2 linked regions of the Caenorhabditis elegans genome follow. The protein of the gene in region 2 purifies or fractionates together with the protein of the main gene of each other region. This does not show direct contact. Each region holds a gene or a part of one and is shown on either strand. Other genes may lie near its edges.

Evidence for each region.
Region 1: the proteins of T27A1.2 (region 2) and W03G1.2 fractionate together in Caenorhabditis elegans (co-fractionation; one large-scale study listed by BioGRID). This does not show direct contact.

What each region holds. Positions count from the first base shown.
Region 1 is NC_003282.8:522,708-528,762, reverse strand, and holds W03G1.2 (Ribosomal RNA-processing protein 8), read right to left. Parts: upstream 4,112-6,055; 5' UTR 4,067-4,111; coding exon 4,010-4,066; intron 3,948-4,009; coding exon 3,716-3,947; intron 3,236-3,715; coding exon 2,826-3,235; intron 2,773-2,825; coding exon 2,467-2,772; intron 2,423-2,466; coding exon 2,375-2,422; 3' UTR 2,272-2,374; downstream 1-2,271. Other genes in the region: Putative sphingomyelin phosphodiesterase asm-3, read left to right, coding at 5,024-5,063, 5,118-5,290, 5,350-5,422, 5,638-5,729, 5,885-6,007.
Region 2 is NC_003280.10:528,898-536,335, forward strand, and holds T27A1.2 (F-box associated domain-containing protein), read right to left. Parts: upstream 4,123-7,438; coding exon 4,106-4,122; intron 3,492-4,105; coding exon 3,240-3,491; intron 3,114-3,239; coding exon 2,789-3,113; intron 2,501-2,788; coding exon 2,229-2,500; intron 2,163-2,228; coding exon 2,000-2,162; downstream 1-1,999. Other genes in the region: lgc-34 (Neurotransmitter-gated ion-channel ligand-binding domain-containing protein), read left to right, coding at 1-143, 1,012-1,323; T27A1.3 (F-box domain-containing protein), read left to right, coding at 6,681-6,764, 6,813-6,889, 6,986-7,240.

The sequences.
Region 1 (6,055 bases), on a different chromosome or scaffold from region 2:
GGCTCTGGCTGCCATCTCGGACCGGAGTGTCAACAGACCTGGTGGTATTGGCAGTTTCTCACTCGAACGAAAGAGGGACAAATCGTTTATTGATGCAGCTCGCTGTTCATGCCGAAGAGAATAAGAAATCTGAATTCTGGTTGCCAGTTCCAAAAAAATTTTCAGGCGAAAAGCAATGTATGGACAAGAACCAAAAATTATTAGGATACTGCAACGAAATCTTCGAATCATTCAAAAATAACAGACAAACAGCGTACAGTTTGACATTCTCCTCCAATTTCTTTGAGAACTTTGAAGATTACACGTTCCATAAAATTGCTCAAACGTTTCGAGTCGAGGATCCAGATCGAATTTGCGTGAACTTTGAAAGCAGACCACTATCGATGGAGCGTTCCGAAAATTGTTCGGCGAAACCGAGAAAATTGAGCGACTGATGGGAGTGGTGAAAGAAGCGTTTGTTGCAAACGACAGTATCATTAGCTCGGTGAATAAATGGAAATCGATCGAATTTCATTGCCCTGTTGAATCACACGTCACTGAGAAACTTTTTCAAAAATGGACCGAAGGATCGAAGTTGGAAATTATTGAAATTCAAGAAGTGGCTCCAAGAAGCATGGAAGCGAGAAATTTGATTCACAACATTTGAATGTACACAAATCATAGTTTCCTATAACTACCATATAAAAGTTTGAAAAAATATCGCAAGAAAAAACCACAAACTTATTTCTCACCCTAATAGTTTCAAATACTCTTCCTGTGTTTCCATACTGTTTTTTCTGTCTAACTATATAACAATTTTCAGATTATCCTTATCGATGGCTTCTCAGAATTCCAAGATAGCTGTCAGACAGTTTACACATCTTTATAAACTTAACTTGATAATATTTGTGTCAAAACGAATATTTGTTGCAGTATGTGAGGAACCAGGTTTTCCTCATCTTTCTTTTGCTCCTGAATTGAAGAAGGATATTGAATCACTAAGGAAAATTTGGAATCTACCGGAAAGCGTTGCCACCCAAAAATGCTTCACAAGCTCGGCTCTTGTTTTTACATATAACAAGGAAACTATGGATGAGCGAATTGTGGGATTGGTGAAATTATTGAAAGATGTATTCAAATCCGAAAATGTGATTGTGGAAATAGACAAAGAAAAACTATTGATGATGTTCGTAACATTACAAACCTCTTGACCACAGCAATGGGTTCCAGGATAAATTCAATGATGGTGGCGAGAGAATTAGTGAATGAAGTCGGCCATATGATCACTGAAGATGAGGTCGGCAGATTGGGAACTGTGAGGAAATGGGCCCCCAGTCCCCCAGAATATGATGAGTTCTATATTGGGTTTGATGATTGGGAAACTGCTTGTACTCATTGTTATTAAACTCGTGCTCCTCTACAAATTTCATTCAAAATTTTGTTGTAATGGGCGAGCCTGAATTATCTTGAAAAACTTACATTTTGCATCTATTTTTCAAGCTGTTCCTATTACAAACTCTATTGTTCAAAGTTTTTTTTTAATTTTCCGGAACTTGTGTAGTATACCTGCCAAAGAAAGTCAATCATTTTGAAAATATAACGTGCCTTTTTTTGTCTATATTAGGCTTAGAATTAGTGTTTTTTAAACCTAAAAATGCATATTAATTTCACTTTTCGATTACCGTATGTTCTCTATTAGTATTGCACCCAAAGAAATTAGTCTTGCAGTCTCTAATAGTATTGCACTGAAAAGGTATCCGGAAATTAGTATCGCATGCAATACTATTAGAAAATATGCCGGAAAAAATTCTCGGCAAATTGTGGTTTCGCACTTTTTTTTTGGAAATTTCAGAGTTTCAATTTCAAATGACAAAATTGTACGCATCGTATAAATGTTCCTACATCTATTTTTAAAAGTAAGCTCTATGAAAATATGTAGAAAAAACAGAAAAAATTCATCCGTCTGTTAAAAAATCCCTTTAAAAATTTCCGGCAAATCGGCCAAAGGGAAAATTGCCGGAATTTAAAATTTCAGGTTTTTACCTAAATTAACTAATGTAAGTACCAATTTCCCTCCCAAGTCCAGAACTAAGCTCCCATCATCATTTTTATTTACTCCACTCTCACTTAAATTTTTTTCAAAAACTTGTATTTATTGCCTTCTTCTGTTATTCCTTACCTCGCTCATCACATAATGATTTCATTGTTTTACTTTCTATCCACTCCCACTGCAAAAATTGAAACCTTTTTCACTTTTTTGCTCGCATTTCCTTATTAAAATTAATAAAAATTTTTAAATTAAGCCCTGAACGCACACTTTATTTATAAAATCAAGGCAAAATCAAGTTCAGTTCTAATTCGATGTGGTTGTATTGGTGGTAGAAGTGCTGGCGTGTCACTTTCCAGAACGAGCGGCTTTGGCCGATTCGATTGGGTTGATTCTCTGAAAATTTTCAATTAGCTGTTCCCCAGCCGGGAATATCTCACCGAGTAGATGTATGTTGCTTCCGGTTCCTGTGTATCAAACTGGACCTTCTTGTCGGAATACTCATCATCCACTTTTCCATCACTCAGCGCTCGAGCACTCTCATGGACAAGCAACAGACTCCGAATCGTGTTGGAGAACACCAGCCCGGTCTCAAAGTGAACTTCATCTCTCTTCTTCAACTCCACCAACGGTTGTAGCTCGTTGAGCACCAGTTTCGTGGGGGGAATGCTTTTGAGACTGAGCTTCTTGTTTCGGTACATCTCCAAATGATCGGTACTCACAGTGATCGCCTCGTCGGTCTCTTTCTGAAATTTTTTAAAATTATTTTTCCTGAGACCTACACAAAAAGATAACTCACCATGTCATCGTCAGTTGGTTCTATTTTTACTGCCCAGGTGGGGACGTCCTGACCCTTGTACACATCTTGCTCTGGTTCCTTCTTAATGTCCTCCAATTTTCGAACGTGATCATAAGAATCCTCAACGGGAAGTAAAGACGTCTTCAGTTTCTTCTTTGAAGTGTTGGTACGGTAGAAAGTGGATGGCTCGTCGCACAACATCATACCATCGGGCTTATTCTTCAATCGATATGGTTTTTTCGGCACTCGATCCATCAGAAGCTTGCTTTTCGCATCGATTGGTTTCGGTTTCGCCGCCGACTTCTTCTTTTCCCTCAACTTCTTATAGACTCGCTCCGTCGTCTTATCATCCACCTCGTGATTCGTGACCTCGATGTTTTTCGGTTCGTTGAGCCGTGTCGTTCCGGGAACTGAAACAGGAAATTGTGGAGGTGTTAGGGTTTTGGATTTTCAGGTAGGTACAAAGATGCCTGCCTACCTACCTACTAAGGTAGGTAGGCATTTTAGTGTCTACCTAAAGGCAGAAGATGAACAGGCAAGCACAATTTTTTTGTTGGAATTTTTTTTATACGTCATTAAATAATTTTGCTTCCACGTGGACGTCGTGGATTTCAATGTTTCAAATTGATTTTTTTTTTTCGAATAAAAAATGTTTCAAGAGTTTCCAGAGGCTTTAAAAATTTTTCATAAGCTTTCAAAAATGTCTAGATGCTCCCAGAAGCTTCTGAAAATTTTTGGAATTTTTCAAAGTCATCAGACGTTCCAAAAACTTTCCAGAATCTTCCAGAAATTTTCCAAAGGTTTCTAAAACTTCCGAACCGTTTAAAAAACTTTCCTGAGCCCTTTAAAAGTTTCCAAAAAAATTTCAAAAAAAAAACACTAGAACTCACTGCGATTTGCATTAGGAATCTCATGATCTTTTACAGCTTCCGGTGCTTTTTCCTTGTAATTCACCGTTCTTGAATCATTTTTCCTTGCTATCAACATCTTTTCCGACTCTTTCGATTTATCCACCGACAAAGATCCACTAGTTGACTTAGTTTTTGTCTTCTTATTTTTACCATGTTGCTTCGACTTTTGAAGTTGTTGCTTTTTATGACTGCGTGCCTTAGATTTCTTTTTCTGAAATTTAATTAGTTCTGGAAGACGCCTGGAAATTGAAAATTTCGAAAATCACAACTTACTTTTTCGTTAATATTTTTAACTTTTCTTCTCGAGCTTTTTTTGGACAATTTCTTCATGATGGGAGAAGATGCAACGCGAAAGTTTCGAAATACAAAAATAATGAAAAAATTCAGAGTGGGGGTAGGGGATGTGATAAGAATCTTCTCGTATTTTTGAAGTTCACGTTTTTTTTAAATTGAACTTTTGGTGCAGTTTTTTGGAGTAATTTATTTTATTTAAATTAAAAAAAAACATTTTCTTAACCTTTCCAATGTACATAAGCACAAATGTGCCACTTGCCTGCAAGGCGACCTATGCCTTCAGGCGAGAAATATGCGGTAGAGAGGTAGAAAAAACGTATTCTGGTTTTGAAGATATATATTAATTTAATATTGCATAACTTTTTTCGGTTTCGCACGAAAATTTCTACACGCCTTTGAAACGGCCTACGCCTGCCTTTTGCCTACAGTAGATAGGCCCATAGGCAGGCAGGAAAGCCCAACTAGTTAAAATGTTATTTTTTAATTTTCAAGTTCACGAAAAATGTTAGTCTGCAGGCCACTAGAACCACCTACACCTGCCTCGTTCTACACACATTCCTAAAATAGGCGGTAGGCAGGCATAAAATTTCAACATTGCAGGAAAACATGCCATTGTTGTAGTTTCTCTTGAAATTTTCGCGCCGATACAAAAATGATAGCTGCCTACTAGGCGACCTGCGCCTGCCTCGTGCCTAAAATAGGCAGTAGGCAGGCACGTAGGCACTTTGTCCAGAAAAAAGGTTTTATTCACATTTTTTGGTGCATTTTCAAGAAAAATTTCTATATTTGAACTTTTCCTCTCCAAAAAGTTATAGTTTCCAAAAAACTTGTAGTCTCCATACCTGATAAGTCGTTCAAAAATCAGTGAGCATTCCCAACGTGTCATCGCCATGTGCTTCTCCCGCTCCAAATTTCTTATCTTTATTACTGGAAACCTCGGCTTCTCCCCCTCCGCCGCTGCTCCCGTTTAACATCAGAAACGATACGGCTCCGATGCTCCTAGGTCTTCTCGTCCTTTCTCTCGCATTTCAGGGTAGAGTTTTAGATTTACATTTTTGTGTTTAAATTCCAGGAAAAAATTTTCCAGGCACCCTCGCGGTGACAGAATGCGAGGAATGCAAGTCAATTGTGGACCTTTTGCAATTTGAGTGGGGAGAAAAGAAGACTGAAGAATGTGTTATGGAAATTGCGGTTTTTATTTGTGAAACGTTCCATATTGAAGATAATGATGTCTGTAACTTTATTATTTCGGATTTCTCAGTGAGACACATTAATATTTAATTTAATTTTAAAAATGTATTGAAAATCAAAGATTTCAGGACGAATTCATGTATGTCATCAAGCAAATTCTCGTGACTCCACATCAACTTTGCGGATTGCTTATGAAAAATGGTAAGTACTACCATGCCTAGGCACAAACATGCCTACCTACATGCCTACTACCAGACCGACGCGTAACAGTGACCCGCCGCCCTAATAGAACATGGGGTGCGGGGCGGCTTGAGAAGATTCTAGTAGACTGCCAAGCTGATCACTATCTTTCAGGCTAGTCACGCATGTAGGCGCGTAGGTAGGCACGATTGCATGCCTATTTGGAATTATTTCAGACTGCGGAGACTTCGTGGATCCATTGGCGACAATTTGGAACATGACGATTCCTGGAAATCAGCCACCATTCGTGCCGAAACAAGTTGTTCCGGTAGGTTTTTTTTTTGACAAAAAAGGTATGCCTACCTATGCCTGCCTACTACTGTCTACTGCCAAATTTTCCGAATGCCACTAGATAAGTGGTAGGTTTGCACGTAGGCATAAACAGGCGCCTACCCCGACACCAACAAAACCTCCAATTTTCAGCCAGGCAACCCAACTCTGCGAGCACTTCACTTGACCGACCTTCATGTTGACATGTTCTACACGGTCGGGCTCGAGGCAGACTGTGGAACTCCGCAATGTTGTCGACCACAAGATATGAATGTGGTATGGTGTTTAATTTGGAAAATTGTTGAGAAAGAGGGAGAAAGAGCA
Region 2 (7,438 bases):
CGATTTCCGGGCTCATGTCATGGTTTTTGCCCAGCTTATTCCTTCTGATTGGGTCTTGGCTTCATTTTTGGATTCATGGAAGTTGGTCGGTCCCGAGAACTATTTCTGCTGCTGTTCCATTTTTCATCTTGGCTGCGTACTACGTAAGTTTTTCGAGTTTCAGCACAAAATGCAACAGTTACGAAAAATCATAAAAACATAGATGCGTCGCGGTCGCGTCGCGTTTTTTACACAAATTTCAAAAGAATCCAATTATAGCCATTATGGGGCTTATTTTGAAGCTTATAACGTCAGCAATCTGAATTTGAAACAAAAGTTCAACTTCAAAATTATTTTATTTAGATTTTAAAATAAAAAAAAACGAGTTTTTATCAAAAGTCCACCGAAATTTACTTCAACTATCGAACTAAAAAATCGAACTTTTGACTTCAAGAGCTTAAATATAACACCCATTCTGACTAGATTAGTTCAATTTTGAATGATTCGGTAGCTTTTGAGCTGCGTAGCGTTCGCGCCGCGGCTCAAAAAGTTTCATAACTATGAGCATAAAACGTTCATTTTCAAAATTTTCCCTTAAAAAAATATGAAAAACCGCAACGCGACCGCGCCGCGACCGCACCGCGAGAAATACATTTCAAAGTTGGTTGAATTAAGCCAATATTGGGATTATTTTAAAGCACTCAATGTCAATAATCTGATCTTTGATGCAATTTACAAAAATTTCATAGTGTTTAATAAAATTTTAGAAAATTTCGAAATTTCGAAATTTTTTTAAACAATTGTGAAAGCCGATTAGAACACTTTGAATATATGTTTATCAAATTTCTAGCGTTTCTAGCCACAAAAATTTTAAAACATATCACGAAAAACCGCGACGCGACCGCACCGCAAGCCAGAATCATAAAAGTTGTCCATAATAGGTCGACATGGGACTTATTTTAAAGCTCTTAAAATAAGAATTTCAAAGTTTCAAATTAAAAATTCAAATACTTTCTAAAACATTTATTCCAGATCTTCATGAGAGAAGACTCCTACACTCAAGCTCAAGGTGCCTGGCTAGCCTTCTGCCTTGTGCTCACCTTCTTCTCATTTGTTGAATATTTCCTTGTCATCTGCTGTGGAGGACGCCGTTCCATCCGTTACAAGACCCTCGGACCACAGGAAGACCACCCAATGGGAGCAGCCAAGGAGACCGTGGAGGTCGCCTATAACGAGGGGTGCGCCTCATTTAGAGATAATAATGGAATTGATGTGATCTCTCGTGTTGCTTTTCCTATTGTCACTATTGTATTTTTGATTATTTACTTTATTTTTATTGTTTAAAAATTGAGATTTTTTTGAAAAGTGTTAAAAACTCAACAGCTTCTGAAATATCTAGTGCTTATTTTATTATCAGTTTTCAACAATATTTCTTTTAAGAAATGAATACTTTTTTTTCCACAAAGAACTATAATTTTAAAGAATAAATCCAACTTCTTTAAAAATTAATATCAAACGTTAGTAGGTGCCAGAAGCTTCGGATAATAAGAAAGTGAATCAAAAAATCTAGCTTTAATTTTAAAGGCATAAAATTGGGTAAATATAAATTAAAATCCAAGATTCAGAATCTCTTAAATAAAAACAAAATTTACATATTTTATTGAAACCTTATCTTCTATCAAATGACTTTAAAGGTGGAGTAGCGCCAGTTGGAACATTGTCAAAATACACTTACAATGATCCAAAACGACCAAATACCATAATAAAAGACTCCAAAAATGTTTAGATTTTTGATAATTTACGATCAAAGTTTTGGCAAATTGTCAAAATTTTGAAAAATATGAGATTTTGAAAAAATCCAAAGCAATGTAGCATGTTCAAGAAAATCATTTTTGCTCCAAAAAAAGTATATTAGATGATCGATAACATGCTCGTGTTAGCTCACAGGTTTAAATAAATTAACAAAACGATTCAAGAAAATGGTAATTTATATTGCAAAAATTCAAAAAGCATGTAAATATTAATTATCCGTAAAGCGAAACAATGTTTGTTGATCCATCGGGAATCTATCATGCCATATGAGAAAGTACATGGTATCATATTCGACTAAAATAGTTGCAAGTAGACCGTCACTTCTTTCGATATCGCGTCCTTTTAAACAATCAACGACTTCCAGATCATCACTGAAATAAGTTTGGGTTTAGTTCAGAACCATAACTTATTAGGCATGAGCTTATTATCAAACTCACTAGAAATATCTTGCTCGACGTTTTGGATTCCACTCGGAGTGTGGCAAACCATCACATAAGTCATCAGTCCACTCATAAGGCCAGTAGTTTAATTGAAATCTTCGTAGTTTTGACATATTTCCGGCAAACCAGTATTGAATGTGCCAGTTTAGTTGTATTCCCGAGAATCCACCAAAATAATCGAATCGAATCGTTTCGCAATTCATCAGTTTCAAATCGTCTAATGTTAATTTTGGGCATCTTCGTAAGTCCAACCGTGGAATATTGTAAAACTTAAAAAAAGAGTAGTGTATTTTAGGAAATTACTGATACATAATGTTATTTATTGCAATACGATTTTTTAATCGTGTCATAAGAAAAACTTGCAGAATAGGAACTTAAACTATCACTTTTACCAAAGGAAAAATAGGAAAGTAAGCAAGCATTTCTTACAAAGTTTTTTTGCAAACACAGACTCGGTAAGTAGCTTGAAATGCTGATAAAACATTTTCAGAATTTCCCGTTTTTTTAAACTACATCATTAAGTACTGAAATATGTGCTACATACATTTTAAACTTACCAGTTTTATGAGTTTTTTGTTGAACCCGACTAGTTGAAAACTACAATTTGAAAATCCAAATTTCAAATCGAAATTCTTCAATATGAATTCCACGTCTTCTGTGTCAACGAACGATAGCTCGCCGAGAACTTTAACAAAATGGCATTTCCGAAATAATGGATGACTCAGTGCGGATTTGAATTCCCCAAAGATTTCATCACGTTCCATTGCCAATTCAACATGGTCGATTTTAAATGAATCATTTAAAATGCCCAAAAGATTGATTAACTCTTGTGAAGTTTCATAGGACAAGCATGGCGACTTGTTCACATCCTTGTGGTACGTGCTGGAAAACTTTTGTTTTTCAAAAAGTAAGTAGTATATTGTCAATGGGCTATTGTTAAAAAAGGCGGAAAGAATATCGTTAAAATTAAAAATTTTGCCGTTTTTTTGAGTCAAAAAAAAATCCTACCAAAACAGATTAATAAAATAATGGACGTTCTGATGAGTTGCCCAGTTGATTCCTTGTTCTTGATTCATCATAAAGTGATAAGCAAATTGCATATCTCTCTCTGTTTCCAAAACTGTTATCCTTCGATACCAGAAATAGTTTCCCAATTCGGAAGAATACTCATCATAGCATTCAATGATTACGTTGAAAATTTTTCGATTTACTTGTTTCAAACTCCGTCGGAAACGAGTAGATGTCCTAGCCAAATCGATTCTGAAAATTTTCTAACTTTGTGTTTCACTGTTCAAGAAATTTAATGATAATTATTGTTTCTCCTTGCATTTTTTAAACTAATTTTAATCGGTCCGTAGCAGCAGAGGCACTTGGTTTTTATTTTTTTACGGAATCAACATTTGCAAAATCCTCTGTTTCTCATCGTTGTGTCGAACTTTTTTCTTGAAACTGTATATGAAAATATAGAAAAATACTTGTACTTTTTGAAAATAACTTTACAAAAACTGTGCCACAGTCTAAATGTGCCGATCGGCACTTTCACAGGCCATTTTTCAAATTTAATGCGTTTTTTGAGCAACTTTTCAAATATTTTATTGAAGTTGTCTGCAACAAAATTGAAGTTGTCTGCAAGAAGTACGAATATTTCTCTATATTTTTGTATAAATTCCAGAAAAAAATTCACCACAACGATGAGAAAAGGTCCGTAGGGTTGCAAGACTAACAGAGGAAATACGGTAAATTTCAAGACTAAAAATTAGAAAAAAATCAATTTCAAATTTAGTGCGCAGACTGGAATTTAAATATTGGGCCTAGTTTTTTCGATTATCTTAATTTGTGGTGTGCTAGACCCCGCCCAGAAAAAGGTAACTTACACTTCATTAATATTCATTGAATTTATTACAGTTCTGAATGCAACACGCTGAAGTTTTGTTAGTCGGAATGGTTTTTTTTGTAAAAGTTTTTTAAAAATTTTTTCTGTACATGATAAGGGATTAACTCACTTTAAATTTTATTTTTATGACCGCAAATATTGAAATGACGGCGATGATTAAGAGTGTCAGAAAGTCGAGGAGCATTTTGAAAAGGCAAAAAAAAACAAAAAAGAATATTGATCGACACAGTAACACAATAAGAGAAACAGAGCACTGGTTAGAGAGAGACGTCACGGGCAGATGGGGTCTCCCCACCGGGAAGGCTCAATAAGATCCTGACTATGAGAGGTCAACAGATGTAAATAACTGTTGGTCAGGGGGGGGGGGGGGGGGGGGTGTTATGCAACAGGGCTGAGCTGAAAATAAATTTTGCCGGAAATTCACAATTTAAGGTAACATTTGGCCAAACGAAATTTGTTTCGTTTTGTAATTTTTTGCAAAATTAATTTACTCAAAAATTTCAGTAATTTTTGTTTTGTTTCGTAGACTTTGTCAAATGTTCTGAATTTTCAGTCAAATTTTCAGTTTTTTTACAAATAAATAATTTTCTGGCATATTTTTTATTAATTCTGTGAGTTTTGTGAGATATTATTGGAATTATAAATGTTCAAATTTTATGTGTCTCTTTTTTAGGTCTGACATGAGGTGTACTCCTCCTTTCATTGTATCGTATAGCGCATCTGTTGACCTCTCCTCTTCCTACCTACGCAGAAGACATCTGAGTGCTCTTTTTCTCTGTATACATCATTATAGTACTGTCTGGGTCGATATTTATTTCAAGTAAATCTCAAAATGTTCAAATATTTGTTGGTTTTACTAATAACAATCGGCCTTGTAATAGCTGTGGCAATACCAATAATATTCAAACTTCTCGTCGTAAGTGATTAAGAGTATCAGAAAGTCGAGGAGCATTTTGAAAAGGCAAAAAAAAAACAAAAAAGAATATTGATCGACACAGTAACACAATAAGAGAAACAGAGCACTGGTTAGAGAGAGACGTCACGGGCAGATGGCAAATTGATTTGTCGACAAATTCGGCAAATTTTAATTTTCGGTAAATTGCCGATTTGCTGTTTGCCGGGCATCAGACTTGTCGGAAATAATCAAAGGTAGGGCCACTGTTTTGAAGCATAGGTCTCACCACGACAACTTACTACTGAAAACAATTTTAAAATGTTCCCGTTTCAATTTTGTGTTTTTTGAATAATTTCGTTGTTTTTTAAGGTAACGTAATAAATATCTCACACTAATTGATGATTTGAATAATGAAAAATGGTGAAATTAATGTATAAATCATATTCATCATCAAAACCAAAATCTGATAAGTTGCATCAAGTAAGTTTCATAAGAACTTAAGTTGTATAATTTTCGTTGACAAGAATAGTTTTTGAAAATTCAGAAAAAAAATTAAGTGTTTCTTTTTTCCAGTAATTTGCCCACAATTTTCGGCAATTGCCGTTTTTCCGGCAAATTCGGCAAATCGGCAAATTGCCGGTTTGCCGATTTGCCGGAAGTTTCAATTCCGGTAATTTGCCGATTTGCCGGAAAAAATCGTTTGCCGCCCACCCCTGTTATGCACCTTTTTCTTGATCTCATAAGATGTCTCCCCCAGCTGCTGCAGCCCATACTTTTTTTTAGAAAACTTATCGAATGCACCAATTCCGAAAACGTTGGAATATTTGTTGCTTTTACTAATTGCCGTTTTTGTAATAATTGTGGTGATGATAATCAAATTTCGAGTAAGTTTTGCAATATATGAATTATCAAAACTGGAATTTTCAAATTTTTTCTTATTTCGGTATGATCTACGTAGATCTACAAAAAATGCGGAAGTTGAAACGCAGAGATCACGCGGACGTCACATTTTTTTTTGCGAAAAATTCCCGCATTTTTTGTAGGTGAAACCGGGATGGTACATCTTGGCACCACGTGGATTTTCATTTCAAAATTAATATTTTACTAATTTTCTCAATTTGATAATCCATAAATCCCTTCCAATATCTCACCGCGCGTTGTATTTTGTGTTATGCTCACGTAGTCACCTCCATTGAATGATAAGATGATAGTGATTTGGTATGATAACCGGAAAGTACTTAGCGCCTTTTTGTGAGTGTCCCTCCGGCCGGTGGGCATGTTAATTGGTTTTACCGAATTTCCCTATTGTAGCCTCGTGAATCATCAAAGAATGAAACTTGACGTAGACTTTGTCAAATGTTCTGAATTTTCAGTCAAATTTTCAGTTTTTTTTCAAAATAAATAATTTTCTGGCATATTTTTTATTAATTCTGTGAGTTTTGTGAGATATTATTGGAATTATAAATGTTCAAATTTTATGTGTCTCTTTTTTAGGTCTGACACGAGGTGTACTCCTCCTTTCATTGTATCGTATAGCGCATCTGTTGACCTCTCCTCTTCCTACCTACGACGCAGAAGACATCTGAGTGCTCTTTTTCTCTGTATAAATCATTCATTATAATATTGTCTGGGTCGATATTTATTTCAAATAAGTCTCAAAATGTTCAAATATTTGTTGGTTTTACTAATAACAATCGGCCTTGTAATAGCTGTGGCAATAACAATAATATTCAAACTTCTCGTCGTAAGTTTTTCTGTTTTTATTGGTCATGAAAACTGCGATTTCTTACAGAAAAAGCCTTTTCAAATAACAAAACTACCGCACCTTGCATTCAAAAATGTAATCAATCTAATGGCTATTAATGAAGCGTAAGTCTATACATTTTGGGTCACCCCGTGTGATTCTGAAGTAATTTTTATACAAAATAATGAGCTAAAACTGTTTAATGAGTCGTACATTTTCAGAGTCAATATGGCTGAGACCTCAAAAAATGTTCGAAGCAGATTGAAACAAGTGAATCGTAAAATTTTCAAACTAATCATTGAATGCCACGAGGACTTTTCTGGCGTGGAGAATGCTCCCTTTTGTCAAAGAGTAATAGTTTTGGACACAGAGAGAAATACGCGATTTGTGTATCAATTTATGATGAATGAAGCACGAAAACAAAGAATCGACTGGGCAACACACTATGACGTCAATTACTATATCAACTTTTTTTGGTTAGTTTTTTTTAAATGTGTCCCACGGCGTTGAATAGCCTTTTTCTAACAACCTCACAGCTTACGCAATACACAACAAAAACACTTACAATTTGATAAAGTCCCCGTCGATGCACCATAATCGAGTTATGAGTTGGTTGGGGTTCAGGGGTGTGCGGATAATAGCCGATTTAGCCGAATTCGCCGATCGGCTAATTC